7 linked regions of the Kluyveromyces lactis genome follow. The protein of the gene in region 4 purifies or fractionates together with the protein of the main gene of each other region. This does not show direct contact. Links are inferred from orthologs where the notes say so. Each region holds a gene or a part of one and is shown on either strand. Other genes may lie near its edges. The genes, in order: RSE1, BRR2, CWC2, CLF1, CUS1, PRP46 and PRP45.

Evidence for each region.
Region 1: the proteins of CLF1 (region 4) and RSE1 purify together in Saccharomyces cerevisiae (affinity purification with mass spectrometry, with the first as the bait; 4 studies listed by BioGRID). This does not show direct contact. The link is inferred for Kluyveromyces lactis from reciprocal best matches to the Saccharomyces cerevisiae genes CLF1 and RSE1.
Region 2: the proteins of CLF1 (region 4) and BRR2 purify together in Saccharomyces cerevisiae (affinity purification with mass spectrometry; 4 studies listed by BioGRID). This does not show direct contact. The link is inferred for Kluyveromyces lactis from reciprocal best matches to the Saccharomyces cerevisiae genes CLF1 and BRR2.
Region 3: the proteins of CLF1 (region 4) and CWC2 purify together in Saccharomyces cerevisiae (affinity purification with mass spectrometry; 6 studies listed by BioGRID, with this or other methods). This does not show direct contact. The link is inferred for Kluyveromyces lactis from reciprocal best matches to the Saccharomyces cerevisiae genes CLF1 and CWC2.
Region 5: the proteins of CLF1 (region 4) and CUS1 purify together in Saccharomyces cerevisiae (affinity purification with mass spectrometry; 3 studies listed by BioGRID). This does not show direct contact. The link is inferred for Kluyveromyces lactis from reciprocal best matches to the Saccharomyces cerevisiae genes CLF1 and CUS1.
Region 6: the proteins of CLF1 (region 4) and PRP46 purify together in Saccharomyces cerevisiae (affinity purification with mass spectrometry; 4 studies listed by BioGRID). This does not show direct contact. The link is inferred for Kluyveromyces lactis from reciprocal best matches to the Saccharomyces cerevisiae genes CLF1 and PRP46.
Region 7: the proteins of CLF1 (region 4) and PRP45 purify together in Saccharomyces cerevisiae (affinity purification with mass spectrometry; 4 studies listed by BioGRID). This does not show direct contact. The link is inferred for Kluyveromyces lactis from reciprocal best matches to the Saccharomyces cerevisiae genes CLF1 and PRP45.

The regions. Positions count from the first base shown.
Region 1 is NC_006037.1:720,729-725,493, reverse strand, and holds the start of RSE1 (U2 snRNP complex subunit RSE1), read right to left. Parts: upstream 3,278-4,765; coding exon 1-3,277. Other genes in the region: GSF2 (Gsf2p), read left to right, coding at 4,512-4,765. UniProt on the Saccharomyces cerevisiae protein: Involved in G2/M transition. Required for pre-mRNA splicing and endoplasmic reticulum (ER) to Golgi secretion pathway. U2 snRNPs associated protein required for the pre-spliceosome assembly.
Region 2 is NC_006039.1:1,582,805-1,587,637, forward strand, and holds the start of BRR2 (ATP-dependent RNA helicase BRR2), read right to left. Parts: upstream 3,398-4,833; coding exon 1-3,397. Other genes in the region: RAD24 (Rad24p), read left to right, coding at 3,760-4,833.
Region 3 is NC_006039.1:1,336,368-1,340,013, reverse strand, and holds CWC2 (active spliceosome conformation promoter CWC2), read right to left. Parts: upstream 2,031-3,646; coding exon 1,017-2,030; downstream 1-1,016. Other genes in the region: mRNA splicing protein PRP28, read left to right, coding at 1-575; snoRNA-binding protein NHP2, read left to right, coding at 2,988-3,437. UniProt on the Saccharomyces cerevisiae protein: Involved in the first step of pre-mRNA splicing. Required for cell growth and cell cycle control. Plays a role in the levels of the U1, U4, U5 and U6 snRNAs and the maintenance of the U4/U6 snRNA complex.
Region 4 is NC_006042.1:1,644,060-1,648,553, reverse strand, and holds CLF1 (Clf1p), read right to left. Parts: upstream 2,963-4,494; coding exon 908-2,962; downstream 1-907. Other genes in the region: mRNA splicing protein MSL5, read left to right, coding at 1-806; NEDD8 family protein RUB1, read right to left, coding at 3,317-3,401, 3,503-3,651; MTQ2 (S-adenosylmethionine-dependent methyltransferase), read left to right, coding at 3,909-4,494. UniProt on the Saccharomyces cerevisiae protein: Involved in pre-mRNA splicing and cell cycle progression. Required for the spliceosome assembly by promoting the functional integration of the U4/U6.U5 tri-snRNP particle into the U1-, U2-dependent pre-spliceosome.
Region 5 is NC_006042.1:789,788-793,826, forward strand, and holds CUS1 (U2 snRNP complex subunit CUS1), read right to left. Parts: upstream 2,524-4,039; coding exon 1,072-2,523; downstream 1-1,071. Other genes in the region: peptide alpha-N-acetyltransferase complex A subunit NAT1, read right to left, coding at 1-692; BIL1 (Bil1p), read right to left, coding at 2,758-2,988; RRG7 (Rrg7p), read left to right, coding at 3,180-3,881. UniProt on the Saccharomyces cerevisiae protein: Essential splicing protein required for U2 snRNP binding to pre-mRNA during spliceosome assembly.
Region 6 is NC_006042.1:1,034,009-1,037,816, forward strand, and holds PRP46 (mRNA splicing protein PRP46), read right to left. Parts: upstream 2,005-3,808; coding exon 700-2,004; downstream 1-699. Other genes in the region: NuA4 histone acetyltransferase complex catalytic subunit ESA1, read right to left, coding at 1-335; pseudouridine synthase PUS7, read left to right, coding at 2,266-3,808. UniProt on the Saccharomyces cerevisiae protein: Involved in pre-mRNA splicing. May also be required for cell cycle progression at G2/M.
Region 7 is NC_006042.1:223,455-227,523, reverse strand, and holds PRP45 (mRNA splicing protein PRP45), read left to right. Parts: upstream 1-1,482; coding exon 1,483-2,775; downstream 2,776-4,069. Other genes in the region: protein phosphatase regulator GIP4, read left to right, coding at 1-1,299; RNA-binding protein POP5, read right to left, coding at 2,851-3,495; ALA1 (alanine--tRNA ligase), read right to left, coding at 3,806-4,069. UniProt on the Saccharomyces cerevisiae protein: Involved in pre-mRNA splicing. Associated with the spliceosome throughout the splicing reactions, until after the second catalytic step.

The sequences.
Region 1 (4,765 bases), on a different chromosome or scaffold from region 4:
GGCAAGCTTTAATGTTAGATGCGACTCTAGTGTCGCTCTCATAGTTCACCCTAAGGACCCAACAGTTACCAAACCTATCCCCACCGATAACACTCGATACATCTATGAACTTGACTGTAGTAACATGCCTTTTCACAATGTCATCTGCTACTCCAATGAAGCTGTTATTATCTATATCATACTTGAAGATCGTAACAGATTCTCTAATATCACCAACTGCTAACATGGTTCCATCCCATTGGTCTAATGCAGTTACTTGGGTAATATATGGTGGCATTTCGGTGATGCTTTTCCTCAACAATTGTTTTTTACCTAGTCCAAATAGGACAACATTGCCAAGAATGCAACATGCCAATTTATCTCCAAACGAAACCATGGCATTGACCTTACTATGCACCATTGTTTCATGAATGTATTGGGTTTCAAGAACGTTGTTCTTCACTCGAATTTGAATCACAATAAATTTCCCTGATTCAGTAGATATGACAATATATTTAACATTTGTACCGAAATTGCAACTACAGACAGCATTAAAGACCTCTTTAGCAATAATCACGACCGTATTCCCATTGTTTGTTGCCAATAGCTTATCATCGCGAATAGCTGATAGACTGGTTTCTTTATTAGCTGTCTTTGAAATAACATATGATAACGAATTGTCCGTTGTATCTGAAAGGATCCGTTGTGATTGATAACCAACGATTTCGTACTTCTCACTTGCATCTTCATCCTCATCTTCATCCTCATCTTCATCCTCTTCTTCATTGCCAGCGTTTTTAAGTTCGTCATTAACAAGGGTATACTTTTTCTCATTGAACCAGTTACTCCAGGACAAAAAGTTATCTAATTTGCCGATTAGGAGTTGCCCTTTGCTGGTTATGGAACAGCAGCCGTTGCGCTTGATATCATCCGTGATAAAAGCATTTATATGTTTCAAGGTTATCCCCTCATCTGTTTTCAAAGGACGTAATGTGATTTTATCATCAATTTCGTAAGTTACCCAAGATATGCTTGAATTCAATACCACTAGTGGAGTGAAATCCGAAATCTTCTTCTTGAAATCGTCTATTTTTGAATCATTTTCTCCAGGTTCATCATCATCATCATCTTTGTGATTGATATCTATATTGTCCAAGAGATTTACCTGGACGGGCTTCGTTCCGACAAATCTAGTACGTACATCGAACACTGTGCCATCATTGATATTGAGTTTAGATGACAGATAAACACCACTTTTCATACCTACGTGGATCTTAAGATCCGACGTGTCCCGCATGAAAAGTAGAGAGTGCGGTTTTGATATTAGTGACTGAATAGCACAGATAGTGAAAAAATCTGGATGTTTACTCTGTAAGTTGAGAATCTGCAGACTAGAATCTTCACATCCTAATACACAATAGCCTGACTTTTGACCGGCGAGCAATGCAATAGAATTCACTGTAGAATCCATCTCCACTCGATCCTGTAATTCGTTTAACGAATCTTCTATGATTTCAAAATAGCATATTTCATGATTTGTTAAAGCGACAACTAACTGTGTCTCATTACAAAATGCTGTCACGATGCCAACACCAGCTGGTGGATACCATTCAAGTTTTTTGGTGTATGGACCATCATGCATTTCAATAATTTGTAAAAGACAATCCCGAGTAACTTGAATAATACTTCTTTGAACCATAGCGCCAACAAACAATGATGGTTTGTTCAAAATAAATGGGTTTGAATCTCCACCAAAATCTTCGACAGTTCCCTCATGGATCTTCAAGATGGTCGTTGAGGTTTCCATAGAAAGAAATATCAGACTGTGAGTTTCGTTTTTAGGAATTCTAACGGTCCAAAGTTTTGATGGTATTCTAGGTAATGTAGTTGATATAAGTTCTTCAAAATCAACCGCAGAAGTCAATTTAACAAGATTCTCAGTTTGATTGGCTGCAGCCAATATCGTGAGTGGTGTCGAATTTGATGCATGAAATGACGTCAAGGGATTTAAAGAAGTTAAGGAGTCAAGAATGGATAGGTTTTTCAAAGTGGACTCTGTTTCAATAAATGATCTCCTTCCCGGGGTATAAGATGTAATTTTTTCTAGATCTTCACCAAGACTTTCGAACTGTGTTAAATAAGAGGTCCCGAATTCTGATACGTTGAAAAGAGCACCTGACTTGAAAATGTGGATGTCTTCAGAAGTGGGGAGTGTATCAAAGTATGCAATTTCAAGAACTGGCGCCTTAGTTTCTTCATCAGGGATAATTCCGACCTTGTACATATCTCCGTGGTTAGACTGCATTAGGATGAAAAAATCTTTCTTCAATTTATGAATAGTACCGTTGATGATATTAGTTGACGAAACAGTTTTTCTGACGGGGAGTTGAACAGACACTTCATAAAAGCCTTCTAAGTCTATCAGAGTCAAGTATCCATCATAACCACAAATAACAAATGGATTTACCGAATCTTGATCAGTTTCATCATTCGGTCTAGTTTTAATCTTATACTGTTGTAAATTTGGGCATTGCATAACGAAATTGATGGATTTATCCTCTAAAAGATGCTCTTTCCGGAGTAGCAACGTGTTAAGACCCAAATCCATTGTATAAAAAGACAAATAGTAATCATTTGTCCCAGATTCTACCTCTATGGCAGCATTCACCGGATTATCAAAACTTACATCACAAGCTGCCGATGCCAAAGTGATTCTATCACTTCGTTGAATCTCTATAGGAGAACCAACAACCAATTTCCCACGTTGCCAGTCAGCCAACACGCACATCTTTGAACGCTCAATCCCACTGAAAAATACACATCTACTCTGTGGATCCGAAACCATTTGATATTGAGGTACAAACCTTCTGATCCCAGATCTGGAAATCGGTTCGTTTGCCAAAGTACGCACGTACACTTTCCCGCTCACGGAATCCCTCTCAAACTGCCAAAATGTTAAATTCCCAGAATCAGTTATCAACACCAAAATCGTATGTGAACATCTATCCATATTCAACTTGGTCATAGAAAGAATAGTAGCTGCTATAGGCCATTTACCCAACGCATCCAATGTTCCATTGCTAACATCGTACAATTCGACACAATCCTGTGTAGCTAGACATAATTGCAGTTCCTTCCGCTTCTTCGATGACCTCGGTCCCTTAACACTTGTTGTATCAGCTTCTGCTGTCGCTAATGATGATCTATCCAAAGTAAAATCACCGATGCAGGAATGAACGTAGTTCCTATGTCGTTGTAAAACAGTGTGCCATAGCAACACTTCAGAGTCCTGAGTCATCCGATCTTCGTTAGCGGGTAACTAAACACACGCTTCAGACGATGATCAGAGGTGTATACTGATGGTAATCAGTAGTGTTGTTCGTCAACTTGCACTCAAGAAGTGCGCTGTTGTTAGTTACTTTGTTTACTTTCAGATTTGGTTTTTTGCCGCCCTTATGAAGAAGTTAGGAAATACTATTTCAAAAACTTACACGTGACCAACAAATCCCAAAAAGTCAACAACATGTTACCCTGACATCACGTCACACGAAAAGATGCGATCACGTGACCAGAATGACATGAGACTCCACATTGTTTCGGAAAAACTTCTGTTGGAGCAGGAGCGAAGTGCTCGTTCAAAGCGGAATAAGAAAACACAGAAACATACGCAAAGGCTGTTTATCGCTCCATATGGACGGAAAAACTTACGATGAAGAGAGCGTACAGGCATGCTTGTACGTTGAGAAAGAAAGGCACACAGTCATTGTTTTAATCCATTACGAGATCAGCATGTAATTCGATACTACTTGTTCCCTTACCGGCACTGGCTCTGGCACTGGTGTCGTTAAACGGTATCACGTTTTGGTAACCCCACAAATGTGCACCTGATGGTGCAGAAACGTAAATATGGTTCACCAAGTTCAAAGCACAAGGCGTATTACGCTACTAACTCTAAGTAGGTGTTTCTCTTCTTCAGAAAAGAAAAACACCGTATGAGGATTCAAATGCCATAGCTTGACTGGTAGACACTCTGTATTGGTTTTTTTGACTTTCTCTTCTGGTCAGAGGAGCAAGTATGAGAAAACTCTTTGTCTGTCTCTACACGTTGATTTATACATTGTTACTGGGGAAATATTAATCGGCCGCATACAGATATCGGGTGGACTCATATTGGCAGATCAGCTCTGTGTGTGTGTTTATTTTTTTCTTCTTCCTCTCTGTGTGTCCGTTCCTTTTCACCAGGAAAAACCTTAATAATATATAATAACGGAAACATGACATATGCTAAAACTTGGTAAGTACGAAATGTTTTCTTCTAGGATAAAAGGCTGAACTCTAGAGTGTAATTTACTACACCAAAGCAAATTTGCCATCCGAACCAACCAGAGACGGTATAAGGTTAAGATCAGATTACAACAAAGCAGTGCTAGTTACTATACTCAGTACTTTTTCAAGATTTATCAGAGAGGAAGGCGAATATTTCCGGTTTTGTGGGAAAATTAACATCAATAACCAATAGCAAACTAGTCGCAATGGAGGTTTACGTGCGTATGAATGATGATTTAGAGTACGATTATGCGTTTCAAGTACAAAAAGATGATACTTTAGAACAAAAAATTGCCTTAATATTTAATAAGGAAAAGGGTCTTTCAAGGTTTATGGTTTTGAAGCCATCAATTTTTTATAAGAACGAACCATCTGGTTTCAGGAAATCCATGCATCCTGGTTTCTTAACTGAGAATGGATGTTTATTGTTCGATTACTCTGCAGATGATTCAGAGTATTT
Region 2 (4,833 bases), on a different chromosome or scaffold from region 4:
TGCTATCGACGCATTTACAGATGGTAAGCAGAAGCTTGGTTAGTCTTGGCCATCCTTTTCTTAAGCACATTTCGAAGAGTGCTCTGAAAAGTCTACCTGCGCTCTGAGAAATGTAAATCATATCCGCATTTAAAGCGAACCCCTCCAATCGTAATTTTGAAATGTACACCTGAAGTAGAATGTTTGCCTTGGCTAATGAATCAGTAGCCTTCTCCTTGATCGGAATTGGACAACGCTCGACGAGTTTCTCTAATTCAGTTTTCTCTTCTTGTCTTACGGTAATGTTCTTAAACTCTTCTGACATAGCAAATATTCTCAGAATGTCGATCAAAGTGCTGTTTATTGTTAACTCCCGGTTGTATTTTGCAATTGACGAATAACTTATGTAGAAATGAGAGGATATTCTACCTAGCTCAGTTGGTTGTACCGACTTAGAAAGAGAGTCATAGTTTACAAGACCGTTATTCTGTAATAAATTCAACGCCGTATGCACAATATTTCTGTTGACTCTTATGAGCTCAGCATCACTCATGTCTCCTGAAGAACCTTGCAAGTTGTATAAATGAGGTGATTGCTTCATCCGTACTGATAAATAGGAATAACCCAACCAGTTAACTGCTTCATCTAGTGAGGTGACGTTACCTAGAACTATTTCAGCATTAAGATTATCAACAACTTTTGAAATCATTTGAGATTCTATAGGGAGTTGTTGGTTCAACACAGCGAGATAATAACGTACGTCTGATTGGTTTGTAATAATGATCCCTTCACCATTTACGTCGTATCTCGGCCTACCAGCTCTTCCTAACATTTGAAGGATATCTTGTGGGGGAAGCATGACCCAATCACTTTTCTCCGGTGAATACATTTCTGTACCTTTAATTATGACAGTGTGGGCAGGAAGGTTAACACCCCATGCTAAAGTTGCTGTGGAAACAAGAACTTTTAGCAAACCATCAGCAAAAAGGTCTTCGGATAAAGATCTATCATCCTTTGTAAGGCCTGCATGATGGATACCGAATCCATAAGGTATAAGGTCGGAGAGCGATCTATCAGTAGCATTACTGGATTCTGTCTTGAGGATTTCCAAGGAACCTTTATCGGTACCTTGGAACGCACTTATTTTATCTTCATTTATAAGTTTTTGAATAAGCCACCTAGCAGTTCTAGCAGTATCCTTTCTCGAATGAACGAAAATGATAACTTGGTGTCCTTCTTTTGCGGCCTCCAATAATTTATCATAGCATGCCTGGTTCATGGCATTCTTCTTCTTTAAAGCATTTTTCTCAGTGATGCCACAATACTGTTGTGCTAAAGGACATGGCCTGAAAGTTGAATCAAAATAAAATAAGCCATTATCAGGAACATGAAGGAACTTGGCCACGTCAATGTAGTTTGGTAAAGTGGCAGAAAGTGCAACAAGCCTCGTAGGAATTTCTGCCGTTGTGTCCCGTAGAACCCTTGCTACTATTGATTCAATGACCGGACCTCTTTCATCATGTAATAAATGGACCTCATCTATGATGATCAAACGTACGAGTTTGTGAAAGCTAGTGTCTGTTGATTTTCTTGTGATTACATCCCATTTTTCCGGAGTTGCTACTAAGAGTTGGGTTTCTTCGATTTGCTGCTTAGATAAGTTGGAATCACCTGTAAGCTCTGCTACCTTCACTCCAAAATGATGTAACCTTCTTTGAAATTCTCTGACTTGTTCTTGTACCAATGCCTTGAGCGGTGCGATATAAACCACTTTAAATTTTTTCAAATCGAAGGCATTTCTCTCTTCCCGATAGTAATGGGACATTGCTCTTAGTACAGTCAACATTGCTACGTTAGTTTTACCAGCACCTGTGGGGGCACATAGTAATACATTAGCGTCTGTATTGAAAGCAGTGGGGTAGACCTCAGATTGAATTCTGTTTAGTGAAGTCGTTTCAGACGTAGGGAAAGCACTGCGAGCCCATTTCGGTAGGCTCTCGATCTGTACAAGCGGGAAATTGTCATCAACCTTCTTGGGCGGGGGAACGTGAATTTCTTCATAGCTATCTTTGACTCTTTTGAATGAGTTTTCAGGTAACGAAATTTTCACGTCTGACAAAAACTTGGTATTCTGCGATAATTTAAGGTCATCGAGGGCAATTACTTTGGGTTCATCTTCAGCTTCTATTTTTTGTTTTTTGGTTCCAACTTCTGGCTCTGAATTCAACTTTCTTTTAGCAGAATCAGGTTTCGCCTTATATGCTTCTACCAAGTGTGATAAATTTCTTTGTGCCATTTCCCCTAGAATTTCGTCAATGTTCTCGTTCGCAGACCTCTGTAAGTTGTGACCCCAGTACAATGTCTCCCTATTTGAGACTATTAGCCTAATCAATTGTTTCGCATCAGGTCCGAAAATATCGTGGAGATTTTGGGTCAGTTCCTCTTCAGAGATGTCGTTTGCGAGCAGGTCGTATACGTTATTGGCCATTTCCTGAACCTTTGTCTCTTCAATATTTTTCAGTTGTTTCCTGATCTTCCTCTGAAGATAAAATCCATCAATATCTTTGATATCTATTATTTCTTCCATGACAGCTGCACTCTGTATTTGCAAAGATTCTGAATTATTCATTATGTCACTTCGTACAGAAAAATTATCATTACTATTGTCTGTTTTTTCATTATAACCCGCTTCTTCATCGGCCTCTTCCCCTGCCACGTCATCTACAGCTTCTAGTAGAGCATTTGGTTCCTCTTCTTCTTCTGCTTCGTCATCATCTTCATTGGGATTTATCGCTACATTTACTGTTCTACCGGTATCGGCGGATTCTGCGTAGTAATCAGAGATACTTTTCACGAGCTTTACAAGTGAGTTGAATGAAGCGTTGTCTAATTCAGTATCCAAAGCTACTTCAATAGTCTTTTTCTTGCTCTCTAGGTCTACACTTTCATCCTGCTTCAAAGTTACTATTATCAAATCTGTTGCGTCTACTATAATGGAATGCGGTATATCATCACCGAGTATCTCAGAACACCATGTAGTTATCTCATCGTATATCTCAGTATTTCTATCATCAGTCGGTATGTAGTTCAAAGACGTTATATCGTCAAGTACCGTGGTTCTGTCCAGCCTTGAGCTATTCGTCTGCTGAGGCGATGAGCTTTTCATACGCTTTTCGAATTCTTTCTCTGCTGTAGCACGCTCGTTATCTTCTAATCCGTTCTCCTTAACGGCAGATCCCATTTCAGTAAGCCTGATTCTACCAGACATAGACTTCGGCTGTGATATTTCCGCATCACGATGCACATCCGTCCTGTTCTCTATCAAACTTCTATCAGCGCGTAGTACCTGATTTGACATTTCATCATAACGGTAAATCTCTTTGATTTTCTGCTTTCTTTCTTTAGCATCTTCGGTCATCTCTCTGTCTAAGTATGTACCTTATCAGTACTGACTATTGCTTGATTTCAACTCGCTCTATGTGCATTTTAGATACCACATCTAAGCTATACGATGTTATTCCATTCATATAATTCATATTCGACTAGCAAATATCAAATGGAATGCTTAATTTCAATGTGCGGGTAAGCTAGATATTTCCACAGTCAGAGATTAGCACTCAATATAAGAGAATACAGATTGAAGAGAGGTAAACTACTCTTAATACCAAATTATATACCGAATAGCTCGCCAAGACGGAGCTCGGCCGTTTTGCAGAATTGAACTAAACGACATTACATTTATTTTCGTCATAAATTGAGGAATTTTAATGATGTTATAGCATGTCAACTCCTAGTTTGAAACGATCTATCAGTGAAATCAGCGATAGGATAAGCAGAGCATCCCCAAGAAAGGATAAGAAGGTGAAACGATCATCTACGTCGGTTCCTTCCTTTCCTTACACGAATTTGGATCATGTGGATTTGACACGACCTAGTGGAGAACGGACGTTGCCAAGTGAGCTGCAATGGTATGACAAATTTAGTCCGAAGAGAGTTGATGACATCGCATTGCATAAGAAGAAGATAGAGGAAGTACGGTATTATTTAGAGGGTATGGTCTCAGGGAAATCAGATGAACGGATTCTTCTGTTAAGTGGGCCTGCAGGTTGTTCTAAAAGTACTTGTGTTAAGCTTATAAGCGATGAGATAGTGCCTCGTTATAGAGCTACGTCAGGACTCACAGTGAGTGGAAGGGAAGTTCCGAATTTTACAGAATATCTTACAGATATGAGTAGCGTTTCACCATCTGAGTCGTTTGATGATTTTTTGCTTCAATCTAAGTACTTAATCGGTAGGAATTTGTCAGTACTTCTTGTCGAAGATCTGCCGAATGTTTTCCACGAGTCAACGTTGAAAAGGTTCAGGGAGAGTATTCTCTCGTGGCTCTTTGCTTCTGATCGTCTACCACCACTGGTGATTTGTCTTACTGAATGTCAACTACTGGACTCGAATTCTACTAATTCATCATTTGGAATAGATTCTACCTTCATTTCAGAAACAATCTTGGGCAAAGATATCTTGATGCACCCGTTGTTGCATCGAATTAAGTTTAATCCCATCAATGCAACATTAATGACGAAGCATTTAAAGCAGATAATACAGAAAGTTAGAAGAGAAATCCCCTCAGAGAAATACCAAAGAAGTGGCACTTTCATTAAGAACCTTGCATCTAGTACAGGTGATATTCGATCTGGCATCGCGGCATTACAATTCTGGTGCACTTCTAGCTTTGATGAAACTAATAGTATTTTCACGAGAGAAAGTTCAACAAGTTATTTCCATGGTATTGGTAAGGTAATATATGGATCGAAGGATAATGAAAATGATAGGTATATGATAAATGAGCTTGTTGAC
Region 3 (3,646 bases), on a different chromosome or scaffold from region 4:
GCTATGTCACGGTTGGAGGAGAAGAATCTAAACCAAAAATTAAACAAATAGTACGGTATGTTCCAGATGAAGAAGAAAAACTTAAGATACTTGTAAAAGATTTCCTACCAAATTACAAGGCTCCTATCATAATATTCATAAATTACAAAAGAACAGCTGACTGGTTATTCGACAAACTTAGAGAGGCTCGGTTCCGAGCAACAACTCTTCACGGCTCAAAATCACAGGAACAACGTGAACACTCTTTAAGTCTTTTGAGAAATGGGAAAGTAGATATTCTCATAGCTACTGATGTCGCTGGAAGAGGTATCGATATACCTAACGTTTCTTTAGTAGTGAATCTACAATTTCCTAAGTCGTTTGACAGCTTTGTGCATCGTGTAGGTAGAACTGGACGTGCTGGTAAAACTGGTACTGCACTTACTTTTCTAACCGAGGAGGAAGATCATTCTGCCATGGCTAAATTGTTCGATTATGTCAAAAAGAACGACTTCACCGGAGAAAATTACATCTCAAAAGAAGCTATGTCGAAATACAATGTTGACAAATCTTCATACAAACCAATTATTATATGAAAGGACTAGACTTTTTTCCTTGAAATTTTAGAGTCATGCAATATGAATTAGAGTATTTAACGTAAATAGTTACAGTGTGCTAGCTAATAATGCATTTAGGATTCCAGGTCAATCCTGGAAATACCCAATGGTCTGACGATTCATGCGTTCTTGTTTGAGCCTGTGCCTTGTCTTCCATTTTTTCGGATGTCTGATTCAAAATTATCGTGTTTTTTGATGAAGGCCAAACCGTAGACTGACGAAGTTCAAGTAAGTGAACTCGACAAAACAACTTCGACATAATTTGAAAACCAGGCATTGATAGCTTTTATATTCATTTCAAATATTTGCAATGTCAGTAAAACAAATCTGAAATCCGCTAGATGTTGTTCATGACGGCAACCAGTAATCCAAAATATACCTAATCTGGAAAAGTCAATGTGTCACATGACTTCACGAAATCTAGTCTTCATCAGATGAATATTGGGTTACCAAAGGTAAAACCGACGATGGTTTTGAAACTGTTATATTTGCAGCAACGTTGGTATTGGTAATAGTCACTTTCCTTTGTTTCAACTTATCTAAAATAGTCTTATCTATGATTGCATTCTCCCTAATGCTGAATCTTTCACGACTGTTCGCCTGCGAATCTCTCACTTCGTTGATTTCTTCAACTTTACGTTTTTGATTTACAGTGCCTTCAGTACTAGCCACTAGTTGTTTTATAGCTTTCAAAGTCTCTTGGGTTTGTTCTTCCAATTCTCTCTTTCGTACAGCTGGATTAGGATCCTCGTTCGCCCATTTCACAAGCAACCCAGTTCCCTCCTTCCTTAGATCCCACTCTTTATCGGTTGGTATTAATAGAGTCTGATTGCCCATTGCTTCCTTAGTAAATTCGGAGTTACACTGTAATTTGAACTTGACAAAGGCACAATTCTTACTCTCCACGTATCGAACAGAATCCAATTCTCCAAGTTTCCCGAACTTGTATTTCACTCTATTCTCAATCTGATGTGGTTTCAAAGTTTTGTTGTTGAGTGCCCCTGTAATACCACCCACGTATAAGACACGGTTAGGTTTCTTGAAGGAACCTACCCCACCCATATCATCTCTATAATCAGCAAATTTCTCTCTTCCAAAACAATCTAACGCAGAGGAATGCAAAGCTAACCTCGCAAAATCATCTGGCTCTGGAATATGATGCAAGTACCGACAATTTTTGCCTAAACAGCACATTCCCTTAGCGAAATACAAACAGAAATGAATCCGACCCTCTTTATCACCTTTAGTGATACCAGAATCGTTCTCGGGATCAAGCGAGTACGGTGTGACGAACCTAGTGGACCCACTTTGCCCCTGTGACCATTTGTTGTACCATACGTTGAAAGCCAAACCCGTCTGAGGCGGTACTGATGAAGGTAGGTCAGACTCCTGTAACTGAACCCTTGCTGGTCGGTTCTTCCAATCCCCAGTCATAATATATTGATGACGATGACCTTAATATTTGGCAATTTGCCAAACCAAGTATTCTTTAATGACCTCGAACAAGCAAACAGTTTGAACCGTCCAATTTATGCAACAACAGATACCGTATTATAACGGTGAAAACTGTATCTTGTCGAGCACACATCTTCCATGTTCATCTCATCGCAGGCCAAAGTGTTTTCAATAAACTTCAAGGTTGGAACTTTTCTTTAGTGAAAACGATCATGATCAAAAACAAAATGGAAACGAAAAAAAGATAAGTCTCCCGGGGGCGAGTCGAACGCCCGATCTCCAGATTACAAATTGCTTTGTGTTTTCAAATTACAGTCTGGCGCCTTAAACCAACTTGGCTACCGAGAGAAGTTACTTGTGTGTTGTAATTTTCAATGATGCTATAACCAAACTTCAAGGTTTACTAAGACTACATTGCCTGACATTAAGAGGTATATGGAGTATTTAAACCTTTTAAAGTATTTAATTATACAAGTGAAGTGATCACAGGACAATAATGCCCTGCACCTGGAACAGCTAATTTCTCCTACAGAGTTTAATCATTGTACATATTGTTCGCCATTTAAAACTCCAAGTTTTGTATGAAATTAAAGGGACTCATCCAGAATAATGTTAGGCGATGGACATTTCTACAACTGCTATGTACCACCTCCGAAACAAGACGCTGGCACGATATTCTGAAAAGTTGTTTATGTGTCGCATGGATTAATTTATGTCGTCCCTACTGTAATTGATACTTTATTTCTTTTTCATGTTACTCGGTACTGGAAAATTTTCATTTTTTGTTAACAAAAAGAAGAGCGATGAGTATGAGAATTGAACTGTTGAATGAATCGATGAACCTATCTTGCTGATGTGATATTGATTCCTTTCTCAATCAATTGCTCGCTCTATTTGAACCAGGGGAACAGTGAAGAACTATACATAATAACAAAGATGGCCAAGGATAAGAGTGTATCAACAGAAGACAACTACGAAGCTAGACTTCCTGCCGTTCTACCATTTGCAAAACCTCTAGCATCAAAGAAACTGAACAAAAAGGTGTTAAAGACCGTCAAGAAGGCTTCCAAGGCTAAGAATGTCAAAAGAGGTGTCAAAGAGGTTGTCAAGGCTTTGAGAAAGGGTGATAAAGGGTTAGTAGTCATTGCTGGTGATATTTTCCCACAAGATGTTATTTCTCACTTGCCAGTTTTGTGTGAAGACCAATCTGTTCCATATATCTTTGTGCCCTCGAAGCAAGATCTAGGTTCTGCTGGTGCCACCAAGAGACCTACTTCTGTTGTATTCATCGTTCCAGGCTCTAACAAGAAGAAAGATGCTAAGGCTAAGGAAGAAGAATACCGTGCTGCATTCGATGAAATTGTTAAGGAAGTAAGCTCTTTGTAGAGATATGAAAACTGTCGACAGAACAACCGGAAAAGAGAAAGTTATAATCGCAAAACACCGAGTGTTTCGTTAATTGCTTCCTGGTGTTGGCTTGTTTAATTAACCCCAACTACTTCCACTTCACAACTACTATTTTTGAACTCTTCTTGCAATGCATATACTGAGACTGCAAGACTAATTTCCAATTGGCATATACCAGTTGATTCGAG
Region 4 (4,494 bases):
AGCCATTGCACTGCATCATTATTGCAGATGTAGAGGACAAAATACCATTAGGAATCAAGGCCTGTGAAAGTATAGTCGTCAAGGCGATCACTTCACCTGAAGGTCAAAATGATTTGAAGCGAGGTCAGTTGAGAGAGCTTGCTGTTTTGAATGGTACACTAAGAGAAGATAACTATGTACAAACATTCGGAAGAAAGAGAATTGGAATAGAGGTCGCTTCCGACGCAGCCAAAAGATTCAAAAATGCAGAATCTAACATCCACGACCAAAGCACTATCGTAAATACTCATAGACTAACCCCTATGATGCAAATTTCTATTGATGGACTAGGAGGTGATGGGATTACTGCTACAGCGGGCTCCAACTCTTCTGTAGGTTCACCTTCTTCTGTTTCAGCCAGATCCGAATCTCTGGCTGCAGAAAATTCAACGTCTGGAATAGGTATCACTGAAGGAAACTTAAATATTGCTACTCCAGGAATGGCACCCCCAGGTTTATCTCCTCCCGGAATGGCAGCACCAGGAATGGCAGCACCAGGAATGGCAGCACCAGGATTGGCAGCACCAGGATTGGCAGCACCAGGATTGGCAGCACCAGGATTGGCAGCACCAGGATTGGCAGCACCAGGATTGGCAGCACCAGGATTGGCAGCAGCACCAGGCAACGTTCCTCCAGGATTAATGCCCCCAGGATCTGTACCGACAATGAATGCACCTGGGCTTACCCCTTCTACGATATCAACACCCAGTTCGATACCGTCAAACCAGTTGCCACAAAGTTTTACCGATAATGAAACGAATAATTAATACAATTCGTATTTTTTCTCAATAGCCTATATGCCAACCTGATTAAATGCGTGTTCTAAATCTACAATTGTATTATCTGTATATGAATATAAAGTTACATATCAGCTGGAATTTTTCTCCCATTGTTTTGCCAAAGCTAGAAGATTTCGAGCAATAGGAGGTTGAGCAACACGATCGTCCGGAAAATCCAATTTATATGACTCTTGCTCAATGTTATCGATAGTAACTTTTTCCCTAACCAAACTTGGTTGTCTAGCATTGACCTTTTCCAAAGTTTCTTGATTACCATGAACTTTCTCATACTCCAGGAGAGATTGTAAAACTTGCTGGCGTTTCTTATCTTCATTATGTTCTTTGAAATATGAAATTGCCTTCTCAAAAATAGCCCTGGTGTGATGCTTATTCTCAGGTGTAATTTCAAAACTGAACTCCTCTTCGCCATCGTCGTCAAAATTCCCGTCTTGATGAGATTGTTGATAGGCTATTAGTTGGGTCTCAGTTGGAATAGTGCTCTCGAAAAGCGCCTGGTTTATCCATATGTTCACGTCATATCTACTCAAAATCAAATACTTCTCGTACAACTCTCTAGCCTTTTCATATTCTGCTGCATCAGTTTCAAAAGCGATATAGCGCTGAATGACAATCAGCTGGTCCGATTCAGATAATCCAACATTATTGCTCATGGAGATATCATAGATCCCTCTTGATCTATCTTCATCTCCTAAATTTTCTTCTAATTCTGCATAATCCAACCATGATTGCACTGAACTAGGATTGAAATCGATGTATTTCTCGTATAGCTTTCTCACTCTATCAAACTCTTTTAGCCTTATCTCCAAATTGATGTAATATTTAAACACTTTTGGCTTGGGGGACTTTCCTAAGCTCACACCCAGAATTTTTCTTGCTTTCAGCAAGTTGTTCTGCCTAATTTCGAATTCTGCATACATTATCCACAGTTTACCGAATGTAAACTTCTTATGTGGAATGATGTCGAGGATGTCTTGATAAACCGAGCGTATCGTAGGCAAATCATTAATGGTGAGCTCTAGATAGACCAAGTATCGTACGCAGATTCTTATGTACCTCTTCCAGCTCGAATCCTTTACCAGGGACTTCGGCTTTGCCAATTCAATGAACGACTGGAAAGCTGATGTCAATTGCTCTTGATATTTTTCCTCAACCAGGTCAATATAGACCCACCAAGTAGAATAATGATAGGGATCTGATTTTAGATATTGCTCGTACTCGGCTTTCCTTTTAGCGATTACTATGTCCTCCATATTTTTCGAAGAGCCGAACTTCTTCTCGAACTGAATCTGCTGTTCCTTTAATGCTTCAGAAATTGGCCATCTTTCAACTGCTAGTCGGTATAACGTTCTAGATCGTTCATACTCTCCCTGAGAAGCTTCCCAGGAAGCGAAGCTACCAATAACTCGTTCAATATCTACCAGTGGTGTTCCGCTGAAACTTGTGAGTGTGTCTAGCGCGAATGAGAACACTGTTCGTACGGATGATATATCTCCATGAGTTTGTTCAAAACGAACCCATTTCAACCAGGTATCTATTTGAGGATGGACTAGAACAAACTTCGAGTAAATGTTCCTGACATTTTCAAAATTCAAGCACCTTGTTTCGAACTCGATGAAGGAGTCCCATGCATCGGGACCAGGTTCAAATGAACACCATCTTGTATAAATGCCTCGTACAATACCCTGATTTCCCAAAGATTCTTCCAATAAAAGATATTTGAACCAGAGCTTATCAACACGAGGAAGAGCGTTTGTTGCTCTGTCTAACAAGTTCCTTGCATGGTTGATATTTTTCCATTTGATTTCACTGTCGATGTATTGAATCCATAGTGGAATAAACCCATGATCAACAAGAAGAGCGCGTTCATAAATGGACCTAGCTCTTCGTATATCTTTCTGATCAAATTCAAATTGAGCATACCTCATCCATTGACGAAGGTCTAACCTATTTCTTTTCAAAACTGTCTCATACTCTGTTCTTTTCCTTCGTTGCCAGTCTTTCAGTTCTTCCAAATCTAATATATCTGCCTTCGTAGTAGCTGCAATCTGCTTCTTTTGGCTAAAGGCATCCTTCAAAATATTATCGGCAGTGATGGCTTCATTGGATAAACTATTGTCACCCATGTTACAGTATAGTCAGGTAAGTTATCCGTGTTTTTCTTACTTTTGTTTGCATCGTTGTCGTTAAGTTCATCTGTTTCTACAATTATAATGTTCGCACTAAATTTGATATCTGAATCATTATGTATTTATAAGGTTCATTCATGCATACAAGGAAAAGCAACAAGCATGTGTTACATCCTTCCTTTGTTTGATAATTGGACGGTCGTGTAAATGTAAATTATGTCATTCATAGTGTTAGCTTCCAATAATTATAGTCGTTTTATTAAATGCAGAGTAATTCCTCCAGGTATTTATCTGCAAAATACTTATACACATACGTATCTTGAGGTTTCGCAATGCAATGACACATGGCTCTCAACAACCGCCTCTTAAAGTTAGAACAAGATGTAAAAGAGATCCATCTTGCAAGTCGGCACTGCCGATTGTTGCGTTATCATCTCTGATTTAAAGATAGCATTACTTACTAGTTAGTAAAAGAGTCCCTACATTAATTTGATATCAAACTCTTCTCAGTTCTGAATTATCAGTTAATTAACATACATTTGTTTGCCCTGGAAGATCAACTTCTGCTGTGATGGTGGAATACCCTCTTTTTCTTCTAATAGCTCTTTGATATGATAGACCGTTTCTGAACTTTGAACATCTACGGAGATTTCCTTCCCTGTTAATGTCTTGACCTTTAATTGCATCTTTCTCAACCACAAACAAGCAACTGATTGTCGATTCTCTGAAAATGGTGATTAATAGTTGTATCAAACAGTAGACTAGTTGTTAAGCTTCAATTTAATTACTTTCTTTTAGATGACCTTTTGCATACGTTATTGTTCAATATCAACTTTTCAAATACAATATTATATATGCGATGACTTCCATGTTTGAAAAGATACAGGTGCAGAACAGATATTGATGCGAGCTATAGCTCATCAGGGCTTAGGATAACAGGGCGATGCTAGCTACACCATACGTCTCTTATGATTATAATAAAGTATACGAGCCAAGCGAGGACTCTTTTCTTTTATTAGATGCATTAGAAGCTGATCTGAGTTGGTTGAATAACAGGTTCAATGACGCAGTACCATTGACTATAGAAATTGGTTCTGGTTCTGGGATAGTCTCTACGTTTCTTATGCAAAATGGTATACCAAACGCCAATGGACTTTATTTGGCAACTGATTTGAACCCTTGGGCATTGGACGCTACCTTAGACACTTGTTCGAAGAATGGTTGCAAGAATAGCCATTTTGATGTATTACAAACAGACCTTACGTCTTCAATAAGGGAAAATGAGGTCGACCTGCTTGTCTTTAATCCACCATATGTACCTGCAGAAACTGTACCAGAACTGCCTCATTCAAATCATGCTGTTCGTGATGATGAGTGGCTCTTTCTAGCATTGGATGGTGGTGATGATGGGATGGTGGTCACACAGAGACTATTGAATGGATTGGACAGAATTCTTAGCTGCAACGGAGTAGCGTACATATTGTTTTGTGCTAGAAATAAACCTGAAACTGTGGCAAGTAAGATGAAGT
Region 5 (4,039 bases), about 850 kb from region 4:
AAATGCTCTAAAACTCTTTCCAAGGATTCTTTATCGTTGCCTGCCTTCTTGTACAAAAGATCATTCTTGTACATGATACATTCGTTGTTCTCATACATTTCTGGTTCACCCAACTTGCCTTCAGCAAGCTCTTCAAATGTCGAAAGAGTATTGATTGCGTCTTGCGTACGCCCATTCAAATCTTGTGCTATGGCCAATGAGGTCCAATTGGCACGATATCCTCTGTAGTTTTCCCAGTACTTTTTTCTCGATTCCAGCGCGCCTTTGAAATCATGAATTTGAGATTGCAATGTCGCCAAATCTCTATAGATTTGAGTGTTTGTAGAACCATTTTCTAATGCGGCCTTGAACCACTTTACAGCGTCTGAGTAATTTTTCACCTGTCTGTAATAAATTCCTAATAAGTGTCCACCAATTGGACTTACAAGAGTGCCTTTAATTTTGGATAACGCTTTATCAATGTAACTAGCAGCTTCTTCAGGTGTACTACAGAATTGCAAGTTCAATCCCTTCAAAATTATAGAGTCCACATGACTGCTGTTCTTCTTCAAGATTGTGTCCAAGATCTTCAACGACTTCTTGTAATTTTTACCTTCATATAGTTGCAGTGCTTCCAACATATTGCTGTCATCCTTAGACCTACCAATTGGAAGTCCCACTTTCCCGTGAGATAGTCCCTTTTTTTTATACATGCTAGTGTAGATCAATGGGTCGCTGAGTGTAGATAAGCAAGCCAGTAAGAGTGTTTCTCCATTTATTCAGTCATGAATATGATTGTTGAACTTGATAATTTTCATGATTTAGACGTTGACTATTGTAAATTTTTCAGTTTAGAGATACATTGAAAATGAAATGTTTGGGTTTGAACGAACTGAAGGTAATAGTTAGCAAGCGGAGCTGGTACGATTCAAGGAGTTTATTACTCACCTACTGCAATAAAGTTAAAACATGTTGCAATCCAATGATACTTTTGATATAGTTACATACTCACATTTACAAATATTTTACGTAATTAAAGGGAAACAGCTGACACTTTTGAAACGTAGGGTTTCTAACGAGTTAATGTAAAGATCAAAAACGGAAGTCAGGCTCTTCTTCCACTTTCTGTTTTTTATGTAAGACATTATCATCGTCCTTCTCCTCTACGCTTGTTGATCGTTTGTTCGTAATATTGTAAGAGGTAGTGGAACTGATTATTGTAGATCCGTCGACTTCGTTTGATTTAGCTTCCGTTAGAACAGTAAATAAGGGTCTATTTTCATCATAGTGCTGGTTGACTACAGAGCCTCCATCAATTGGCACTAAGCCTGAATTATTGTTTTCATGTGTCTCGCTTTCTGTTTTTGTTGCTTCCGCTTCATTGGCGTCTGAAGACACCTCATCGTCGGAAATTGATTCGTTCAACGGATCTGGATCAATATGTGCGTCTTGATCTTCTAATTCTTCAAATGAGAACATGGCTCCGAATAAGTTTTGTTTGGGTATTCTCAAAGTATCTTCAGGGTAGTATCCGTATTGTGTACCGGTAAGATTAGAGATTTCCCAATTTATTCCACAGACTTTCATACCAGGGTATGATTTGGGTAGTCCTAATCTATTCATTTCATGACACCAAGGCGGGAGCATCCCCTCCGTGAGATTTAATGCCTCCCTTAAAGTTTCCGATAGATACCCTGGTCTATATCGTGTCTTTATTTGTTTCCATTCGAGTTCACTATCCAAACTTCTGTTTTCATAATATAAATCACCAAATGACAATAGTTCAGGTTTCCAATTCTTTCCCAAAGTGAAAAATGCTTCGTACAACCTTTTATAATCTAGATCTAATACACCTAGCTTGGGTTGAACTTTTGCTCTGGTAATATCCTTCAATTTCTCTGCTTGCTTTTCGTTTCCAGAGGGAACAGTCTCTCGCATCGTTTCAATATCGGTTTGTCTAATAATCTCAGGTAATTGAAATGGCTTCCTTTCCATCATTGATCGTCCAGATAAATAACCTCTTTTCATTTGCCAATGTCTGGGGATCCCCACTGTATTATGTGTTGTCTTTATAGCTGCATTGAAATAAGGCCATTGCGCATCGCAGTCAAACCATTCGATGAGTTCCGGATATGGTACTGAAGCTTTCAAAACAGCAATACTTGGTTTGTTAGCAAGTCTCTTTTGTCTTTCTGATATATTTTGAAGTACTTCATCCGCTTGATCCTCAAAACTGTCGGAACCCTCAGCATCCTCATCGTCAATATCAGCCCGTTCTTTTCGTACTATGGCTTGTTCCCGTTTTGAATCATCATCCTCATCGGCCCCTGTAGCCGAAGCTTTAAATCTTTGTAACACTTTATTGAGACTTTCATCCTTGATAACTAAAGGTTCATTAATTACCTGTTGCGAGGTGTTGCCATTCTCTGATGACACTTGTTGTAACAAACTGGAAAGCCTCTTCTTCCTTTCTTCTGCATCCTCTTTCACAGATCCATTTTTATTCTTTGAACGGCGTTTATTAGCCTTGGCTTTCTTTACCATAGTGCAATATCTGGTGGGCAGTTGACTGTTGTTATATTAATAAGCAGTCGAGCCAGAATACTATTGTATGCTCATCTGTCAATTTGCCTTTTTTATGTCCTTTATTAAGACCACATATATTTTTCAATTAAATGTTGAAATTTATACCATTATATTATACGTGAACAGATATGGCAACATTCAACGGTCTTGTATACATGTGATAGATGCTATATGACTATGGATAATAACGAATCACTCTTCTAAATTCTTGAGTCTATCGTTGATTGAATCGGCGAATTTGTTAAATTGTACATCATCGTCATTCACTTTCCGCAGTAAGTCCTGTAACTTTTGCTGAATATCTGAGGCTATCTCAAACACGGTGGGAACATCTTCGTTGGAATTACCACTATTTTCTGATCCTTTTGGTTCAGGGGTAACAATTGGTTGTGTCGAAATCATCTTTTGAAGTGATGACTGCATGTATATGGCTGTATGTAAGCTAGATCAATAGACTTCAAGGTATGTCGGTTCTATGACATTTACATTTTTTTTAGTTATTTGAATCCGATCCAAATTTTGGTGATACAAATGATACATGGAGGTGATGAGACTAACAATGGCGAGAACGCCAGCTGGTCTATTTTGTCCATGATAGCCTATTAGGTATACAGATGAGTTGGAAAGGGGTTTTTGCAAGTTCATTTCCCAAAGATACTTTACAGAAGTATATTGCTGCCAATGAGAGCATCGCCAACTCTACCGTTTTTCAAGGTACGCTATATGAGCTCACGGTGGTACGAGAATTAATGAATAAGCTCCGACTGGAGGATATGCAGGTAGTTGGCGGTTCATATGATGGCGGCATTGATATTCGGGGCAAATGGAACGTTTTACCATTAACAAAGGCTATAGAAATGCAAATACAATTCGATGAGCTACCTAAACGTTTGAAACTTCCGACTACATCGATAAAACCATGGAAACATAGGGTGAAACCCGATAAATATTTAGACTGTTACATTCAATGTAAGGCTTTCAATTCAGATAAAGTTACTGGCCGCCAGGTACGGGAATTAATTGGATCATTCTCCATGCAAGTTCCCGCTCGTAAAAGAAACTCGAGCATAATGATAATGAGCTCTCCAACTTTGTTTACAAAAGATGGAATAAGGCTGTTTAATGAGGCCGCAATACCAATGGTATTTACCAAAGTGGATATGATCCAGAGATTAGCTGATGGAAGCTTCGATGTGAAAAACTCGGGAAAACTACAGCATTATTATGAGAATGACTATGCATCGAAATTACTTGCAAATTGTGGAATCAAAGAATGGTTAAAATTGAAAGGTTATGAGTCCTTAGCACAAAAATGAAATATTAGCACGCAATTACGCTATCAGAAAAGTTTAAATAGAATGAAACCTGTACATATGATGAATGTAATAAATATGATATGCTAATTAATTTAAAGATGTATAAATTTATAAAGGTTGTGTATCTGATTATGCAGCGCATGAAAACGAGATAGGAA
Region 6 (3,808 bases), about 610 kb from region 4:
GGAGTAGCACTGGCTGCTTGTGGTGTAGCACTTTTATTCTGTTGCTGCTTCTTTTTCTTCGAGTCTTTCTTCTCTTCAAGCTCTTTAGGCCTAGGAAAAATGACTTCCTTGTCTATCTGTAACCTATCAGCAGTGATCCATTCATCTAGACGTTTATTGAAGTCTTCATAATGCACGTAGAACTTAGGTGGATCTCTTCTGCTGTTAATGGATAGAATTTCAGCAAGACGATCTTGACCATCTTTTAGTACCCATGACTTGCATCCAACGAAAATCTCATCGATGCTGTCAACCTTCTGGGGAATCCCAGGTTCCTTTTCTTCGCCGTGACTCATGTATTAGCGAGCTCGCCCAAAATATTTGTTAAACAGTTGCCTTGCCTTACTAGTTCCTCTTACAGAGGTGCTCTGTTTTTGGATTTGGTTTATTGCGTAACTAATAAGTTCAAATATTTTGAAGATGCTAAATTTCAGTTAATTTATTCAGATTACCGTATTAAAGCAAACACCATGCTTGAACAAACATACAAGAAAACCTGACGTTCCCTGTCCTTGACTACGTGACTGTAATCATATGACAGTTAGAGCAAACCTCGCAATTAATGCAGACTGAAATATTCTAGATAGATGGAAAACGGGGACCTAATAGAGTTAAACTACAAACTTCTACATAAGTCGCTGCAAGTAGACACCAGCTAGATTAGAATCTTTGAGATATTAACGTGGGATTCCACGGCAAGCCAGGGAATGTATCTTCTGTAGCATCAGGGACTTGCTTCCATATTTTGATGCTTTTGTCTCCTTCCCCTGTGATGAGTCTTGTTCCTGTGACATCAAAGGTGCTGCATAAAATCGATCGCTCACTTTCAAGTGAGCCAGCAACTTCAGTTGTCATCATACTTTGGTATTTGTGTCCTGTTTTGTAATCGTAAAAGCACAAAGTACCGTCATCTCCACCAGCTAATAGTACATTATCGTGATTAATTGATACGGTATTCAAAATCCCAGTGTTCTGGGATTGAAAGTTGGTTAATAGCTGTCCTTCGGGCAATTTCCAGGATCTGACGTCGTTCGTAGATACACTGGCAAAGCTAAACTCTGCTGGGTGTAGCGTCAAGTCTCTGATGTTTCTACTATGGTGCGTTAAAACTTTGCTTGCCTTCCCTGCAATGATATCCCAAAGTCTAACTGTTGCATCCCCGGAACAACTGATTATTTGTGGGTCAACGGGAAGGCATTTGACTTTATTTATAGGGCTTTTATGACCGGGCAGAACCATTATCTCAGATCTTGATCGTATATCCCACAACCTTACTACAGCATCACGACCAGCAGTAGCTATTATATCAAGGCTCGGATGAACATCAACGGTATGCACGCCAGATAAATGACCGTGAAAATCCCTAATTGCAGTATTTCTTTCTAGATCCCAACATTTTACAAGTTTATCTTCGCTTGCTGAGAACATATAAGGATGTCTCTTTGAGATAGCAATATCTCGAACACTCATTACATGCCCGATTAGAGTAATTTTCAACTTTCCCGCAGCTAAATCCCAGATTTTAATGGTTGTATCGTTGCTACCAGTAGCAAACCATTCATTGTCAACGGGGTCCACGCATACACATCTTACCCATCCAGTATGACCATTTATTACCTTACTGAGTTTCCATGGTGCATGCCATTGCGGTTTATAACTTCGAGTCTTTTCATAACGTTCCATCAATGAAATCTGCTGATGTGGCTGTTGGAACACTCTTCGTACTAGTTGGTCGCCTGGTTTTGTGGTATGTTTGACTAATGCTTGAGAGCTTTCGTTTGCAACAGTTTTCGACACCTCAACTAATTCACTGTACCTTTCTAAAACAGTCTTTTCTTGATCCAGGCACTTCTGTAACGACTCAGGTAAATAATCAGCATGTTTAAATTCATTATTCCACCGAGTTTGAACGTAAACATCATCTGCTACCTTCGAAGGTTCAGAGCTACGGCTGGATGTATTCATTGGTACTTATTAGTTGTCTATCAGTTCGATTAAGTCGTGTAACTCTCTTTCATCTTTGTATATGTCACTTCGTTAACTTTTCATAATATCCATCATACAAAACGGTTCTTTTCGTTTCTTGAAAAATTTCGAGCTCATCTCATCTCATCTCATCACATTGAAGCAGAAGTCAGTTGTTCAAATCTGGAAGCTGCGCTTCTTAATTGCTTATAACAAGTACCAGGTATTAGTACTCTCGTGTTAAAGTATAGTATTGGTATAATGTCAGACCAATCTTTGAAAAGAGAGTCCGAAGCTGCTGCCCAGCAAGAAGATATTAAGAGGACAAAAGTTGGTGAAGGTATAAATGAAGGTATAAACAATAACAACATCACTGAAAAGGATGTTGGTATCACGCATTACTTATCAATGGATAATGTTGGTTTCAATGGTCAGATCAAACAAAGGTACACTGACTTTTTAGTCAATGAAATCACCAAGCAAGGCGAAGTTGTGCATTTGACTGACAAAGGTTTTAATATGCCAAAGAAGCCAAAGCCAACGAGAGAACAAATCGAGCAATCGCAAAAAGAAGAACTTGAGAAACGCCAAGGATTTAAGGTGGATGAAGGAATTAGAAATGAACTTGTTGAACTTTTGGGAGAAGAGGATGTTCAAAAAATTGAAGCTGTGTACCGCTCAAATAAAAAGATTGAAACATCGAAGGCATTCGATGATAAACTTGAAAGGACTAAAATACATCAACTGCTACGTAGAGCTTTCGACAACAAGTTAGAATCTGTAACGACGGATTCAAACCATTTCATTGTTGGAATGGCTTCTCGCCAAACACGTGTTAGCAAAGAAGAATTGATCGAACAAACTAAGGATGCAAACGGTGTCGAAAACTGGGGTTATGGTCCATCAAAATCGTTTATTCATTTTACTGTCTATAAGGAAAACAAAGATACTATGGATGTCGCTAATACTTTATCAAAATTCATGAGAATTCCAACAAGGTTGATCAGATTTTCTGGAACAAAGGATCGTAGGGCTGTCACTTGTCAAAGAATGTCTTTATCCAAAATTGGTTTGGACAGATTAAACGGACTAAACAAGGGCTTGAAGGGTGTCGTTCTAGGTGGCTACAAATTCGAAGATGAGCCATTGAACTTGGGAGATCTACAGGGAAACGAATTCACTATTGCTATCAGAGATGTTTCATTGAAGAATGAAGGCGATGATTTGGATGATATCCTAGCCAATGGCATGAAATCCTTGGAACAAAATGGGTTCATCAATTATTTCGGTATGCAAAGATTTGGTACGTTCAGTGTTTCAACGCATCAAATTGGGCAAGTCCTATTATCAGGTAACTGGAAACAAGCTGTTGATTTGATCATGGCTGAACAAGAAAATGTTTTGCCAATTTCCAAAGAAGCTAGAAGAATTTGGGCACAAACCAGGAACCCAATCTATGCAGCCAAAGCAATGCCACATCAGTGTTTGGCAGAAAATGCCATTCTCAATGCACTATGTCATGAGGAGAAATGTGAAACATCAAACGATTACCCTATTAGCTCATATCACAATGCTATTCTAAAGATTCCTAGAAACTTGAGAACTATGTATGTGCATGCTTACCAAAGTTATGTTTGGAACATGGTCGCTAGCGAAAGGATTAAATTATTTGGATTGAATGTCATCGAAGGTGACCTTGTTGTTGACGAAACATCTGCTGCTGAGTCTGATGACCAAGCCAAACAGGACGAGGATGACTTTGATGAAGACCTCCGCGAAACGAAGTTTATTCGTGCAAGACCAG
Region 7 (4,069 bases), about 1.4 Mb from region 4:
TTTTGCTTCACACAGGAACTTGAAAAAGATCTTATAGAGGCCTTTAAGTCATATGGAAACCAGAATACTGTTTATCAAGTTCAGTTTAACAACATCTCATCAGCATATCAAAGATTGTTGTTAAAATCTACGCAGATGTTACGGAAAGCTGCTAAACTCGTTGATTCGTTTAGCACCCAATGGAAAAGTATATCAGATAACATGAAAGCCAGCAAATATGACGATATGAACATCGATGAGATGGCAAAGATGGCGGAGGAAAAGTTAGCTGTAGATGAACTAGCATACAACGAAAAAATAAAGGAACAAGAAAGACAAAGGGAGGAAAAAAAGAATTCCAGTCTTTCACAAAAAAACACATCATCTTCATCTTCCATAACTTCAAATTCTTCCTCATTAAACGTTTCTCCAAATATTTTATCGCCTTTAAGACTGAGCCGGACATCTTCAGTTTCGCGGTCAGAAGAATCAAGGTCCCCATCATCACCAATACCTTTCACTGATGCGAAGTCTAATATATCGGCTAAAAAGACCAGATCAGTCAGAACAAGAAACAGATCGTCATCATTGCAATCAGTATCAAGTCTTGAAGATACTTCCACTGCTCGGAATGGTATGAGATCCAATTCTCTTCAATCAGGTTCTCTGAATACACAAAGAATTGTACAGAATGCATATTCAAAAGCATTACTCTCGTTAAATGAGAAAAGAGGCCCAAGACTAACACCAACAAAGCTGAATAATTCTATAAGATCAAAATCACCTTCTCCAACTGTGTCACGGCAGAATTCCGTAAAACAGAGGAACAAAGTGAACATATTGAAGCTAAATGAAGTAGACGAAGATGACATCAATGAGAAATTCCACGATCTGAAGCTGGACGATGATACTCTAATCGTCTCTCAGGAAGTGTTATCTCCAGAAGGTAGTGAAACTCCTAAGATCATAGTTTCTGTTGCCGATGACAATCAGTCGTCTTCAAACAACGACAGCGAAGTTGAAGGTATTGTGAAAAAGGTGAGATTTATAGGGGTTCCGCCTATGTCACAAGATGAAAACCCTGAGCCTAAAAGACGCGGATGGTACAAGAAGCCTGCCGTGTTGCATTATCCACCTCCACCTGCACAGCACTCACTTCAAAAATTCAGAACAACTCAAGAGGGTCTTGCATTTCGCACAAGTTTGATCTCCAGAGACCAAGGTTCTGATAAAAAGTTCGGTTTTGACAGCATGTACTCATCAGGTCAAGGGGCGGATACTAAAATAGTGGGTAAAATCAAGGATAAACTGTTTAAATAGAAAGAATCTTTTAATTTCTATTTGCAGTGAACTTATTTCCATTATAATATCAACTTTTAACAATGTATTTGAAATTTAGAGAAAATATTTAACTATTGAACATTCCCATAATTTATAAAGTAAAGTAGGTAAGGCTTGAAACATAGGAACAAACCTGTTATAACACCACTAGAACGGTCTGACATGTCATTCAGGACACTCAGCTCATTGCTACCGAGTCCGCAAAACTCAGAAGTCTCCGAGTCTTCAGCATTTTCTAGACAATCTAAGGAAAACATAAAGGATACAATAATATTAGACAAGCTACGACCGGAGAATCTACCAGTGGCCTCAATATCTGACTTTGTACCTCTTAGACAACGTGATATATCACTAGAGGCACCGTTCCCATCGACATCACAGATTAATCAAACATATGTAAAGACTAAGGCGTTTCTAGACTCGCTGCTAACGAAAAAGAGCTCTCTACAATTATCGTCTATTGCGAACAAGGACATCGTAAAAAGAGAAGCAATAAGCTCTGTAAAATCTGGTACTCAACGTTCAGTTAAAGTAATAGAACATAAGAAGGATCCTTTACAACCGGTAACACACAGGAAAAGGAAGGTCGTTGTACCATCGGAAGAAATTCAGGCGCCTATACTTCATAAGTCGGATGACCCTAGTATTAAACCTACAAAGGAAGAGCTTGATAAATGGAGAATTCCATCCGCCATTTCGAACTGGAAGAATCCTAACGGATTTGCTATTTCTTTGGATAATAGAGTTGCTATTGAATCAATAAAGACGGACTGCCCAGATAATGATAAGAAGGACAATTTCCTTCTGCTATCTGAGGCACTAGACGAAGCAGAAAGAGAAGCAAGACAGAGAATCAACATTAAGCAAGAGGCGTACAAGGAGTTAGAGAAGGAAGAAACTTTAAAAAAAGAACAAAGGTTACGTCACTTAGCTGAACGTGCTAGACAGGATAGGGAAAATAGGCGACAGTACGAAAATGAAGATCATTATGTTAGGGAAATGGAGCGTAATCAACGTAGGAGAGCAGAACGCGAATTGGAACGGTCGAATAAAATGAGCACAGCAGAAAAGTTAAGACGATTGGCGTACCAACAAGGAAGAGATGTTTCTGATAAAGTTGTTTTAAATGCTGCAAAAGCCACCGAGACCCCAGATCTTCAGTACGATTCCCGCTTGTTCAAGAAAGCGGCATCATCTGTGGCATCATCTTCAAATCAAATTTTCGACCATCCATTGTTCAATAATAGCCAGATTGACAACATTTACAGGCCAACTACTGGTTCTAACTTAGAAAACGAAGATATTGTTGATCGACTCTCAAATAAGAAAGGAAGAACTGGACCGGTAGAGTTCTCCGCTGCTGATGATGGCAAAAATGCGGAACAGAATGAGGAAGATAACGAGCATGCCAGAGAATACGGTCTTCAAGTGCGTAAGAAGCCTCATACTTCTTAATTGTGCGATACCGATATACTGATATAATTGTATGTAATAATATTCAAGCACTACTAATTGAATGAAATCAGCGAATCAGTCATTATTTTCATCGTCAGTGATTGAAGAAAACTCATCATTCCTATCATCTGTCAGAAGTATTCGGTTCAAACGGTGACTTCTTCTGATAGCAAATAACTCAACTTTTTTAATAGTTCCGCTAACTTTTATTGGATTCATTATGATGGGCCCAACAGATTCAATCTGGTTCATCAAAGCAAGTGCCATTATTACGTACTGATGGTCATCATGGCCACATCGTATTATACCGGTTGATGTTCTATTCGAAAAGTATTTGATCTGTAACAAAGCCGTAGCCTTTCCCAAGCCATAGTCCCCGAAATTCACCTGTAATTGTTTTCGTAGTTCCTGCAAAATATTTCTCGGACTGATAGTATTTGGTGATACTTTGTGATGCGTGGTTAAAATGTCCTTCTTGGTTATATCTGGCACTGTTTCGTACTCATCATCTACATCTGGATATAGTACTTCGAAAAGAATGTATCTGCTCTTTAAACGAACCATTGGATTTCTTCTATTTTGCCTATTATGACAGCAAGTTTTATTAATAGTAGGATGAAACCCCCGAATAAACGTTGTTGCACAACCGTCCTTTATCAAAATCTTGATTCCTTCACAGTTGATCTCCATCATAACTCTAAATCTTGTAATGTGAAGCATCTCTCTTTTTTTTTTTTTTTTTTTTTTTTTTGGTTTGTCGCATTCAAGTCACAGAAGAAGAACGAGAATACGCCAAGCATGTCCAATATTTTATGCATTATTGCCGCATCACCAACCTTAACTAACAGATTGTGTAAATATCAGATAATTCATTCTCTATATAACAAAAGGCGTAGCATATCTTTCAAGTAATATCATATATAGTTGAGTTGAAAATCAGAGTTCTCATGCATATATTTACAAAACTTTGAGACTTGAGATTAACTTCAAGCCAATCGTAGCCAAAGAGTTTATATTAAAGCGGGTGAAATTAGATAGTCAGTCTCTCTTTTAGCAAGGCTTCAACTTCCGCAACAGCGGAGTCAATACCGTTTGGTTTGTCACCCATACCTTGGAAGACATTTCCCTTACCACCAGCTTTACCACCGATGCTAGAGGATACTGTTTTGGCTAAACTAGAACCATCAACACCTTGAGCAATTGCTGCGTCAGATATGTAGCATCCGTGAGCAACCTTTCCGTCTGGTTCATTACAAGTGAATAAGTAGATAGACTTGTCCTTCGAGTTTGTTTT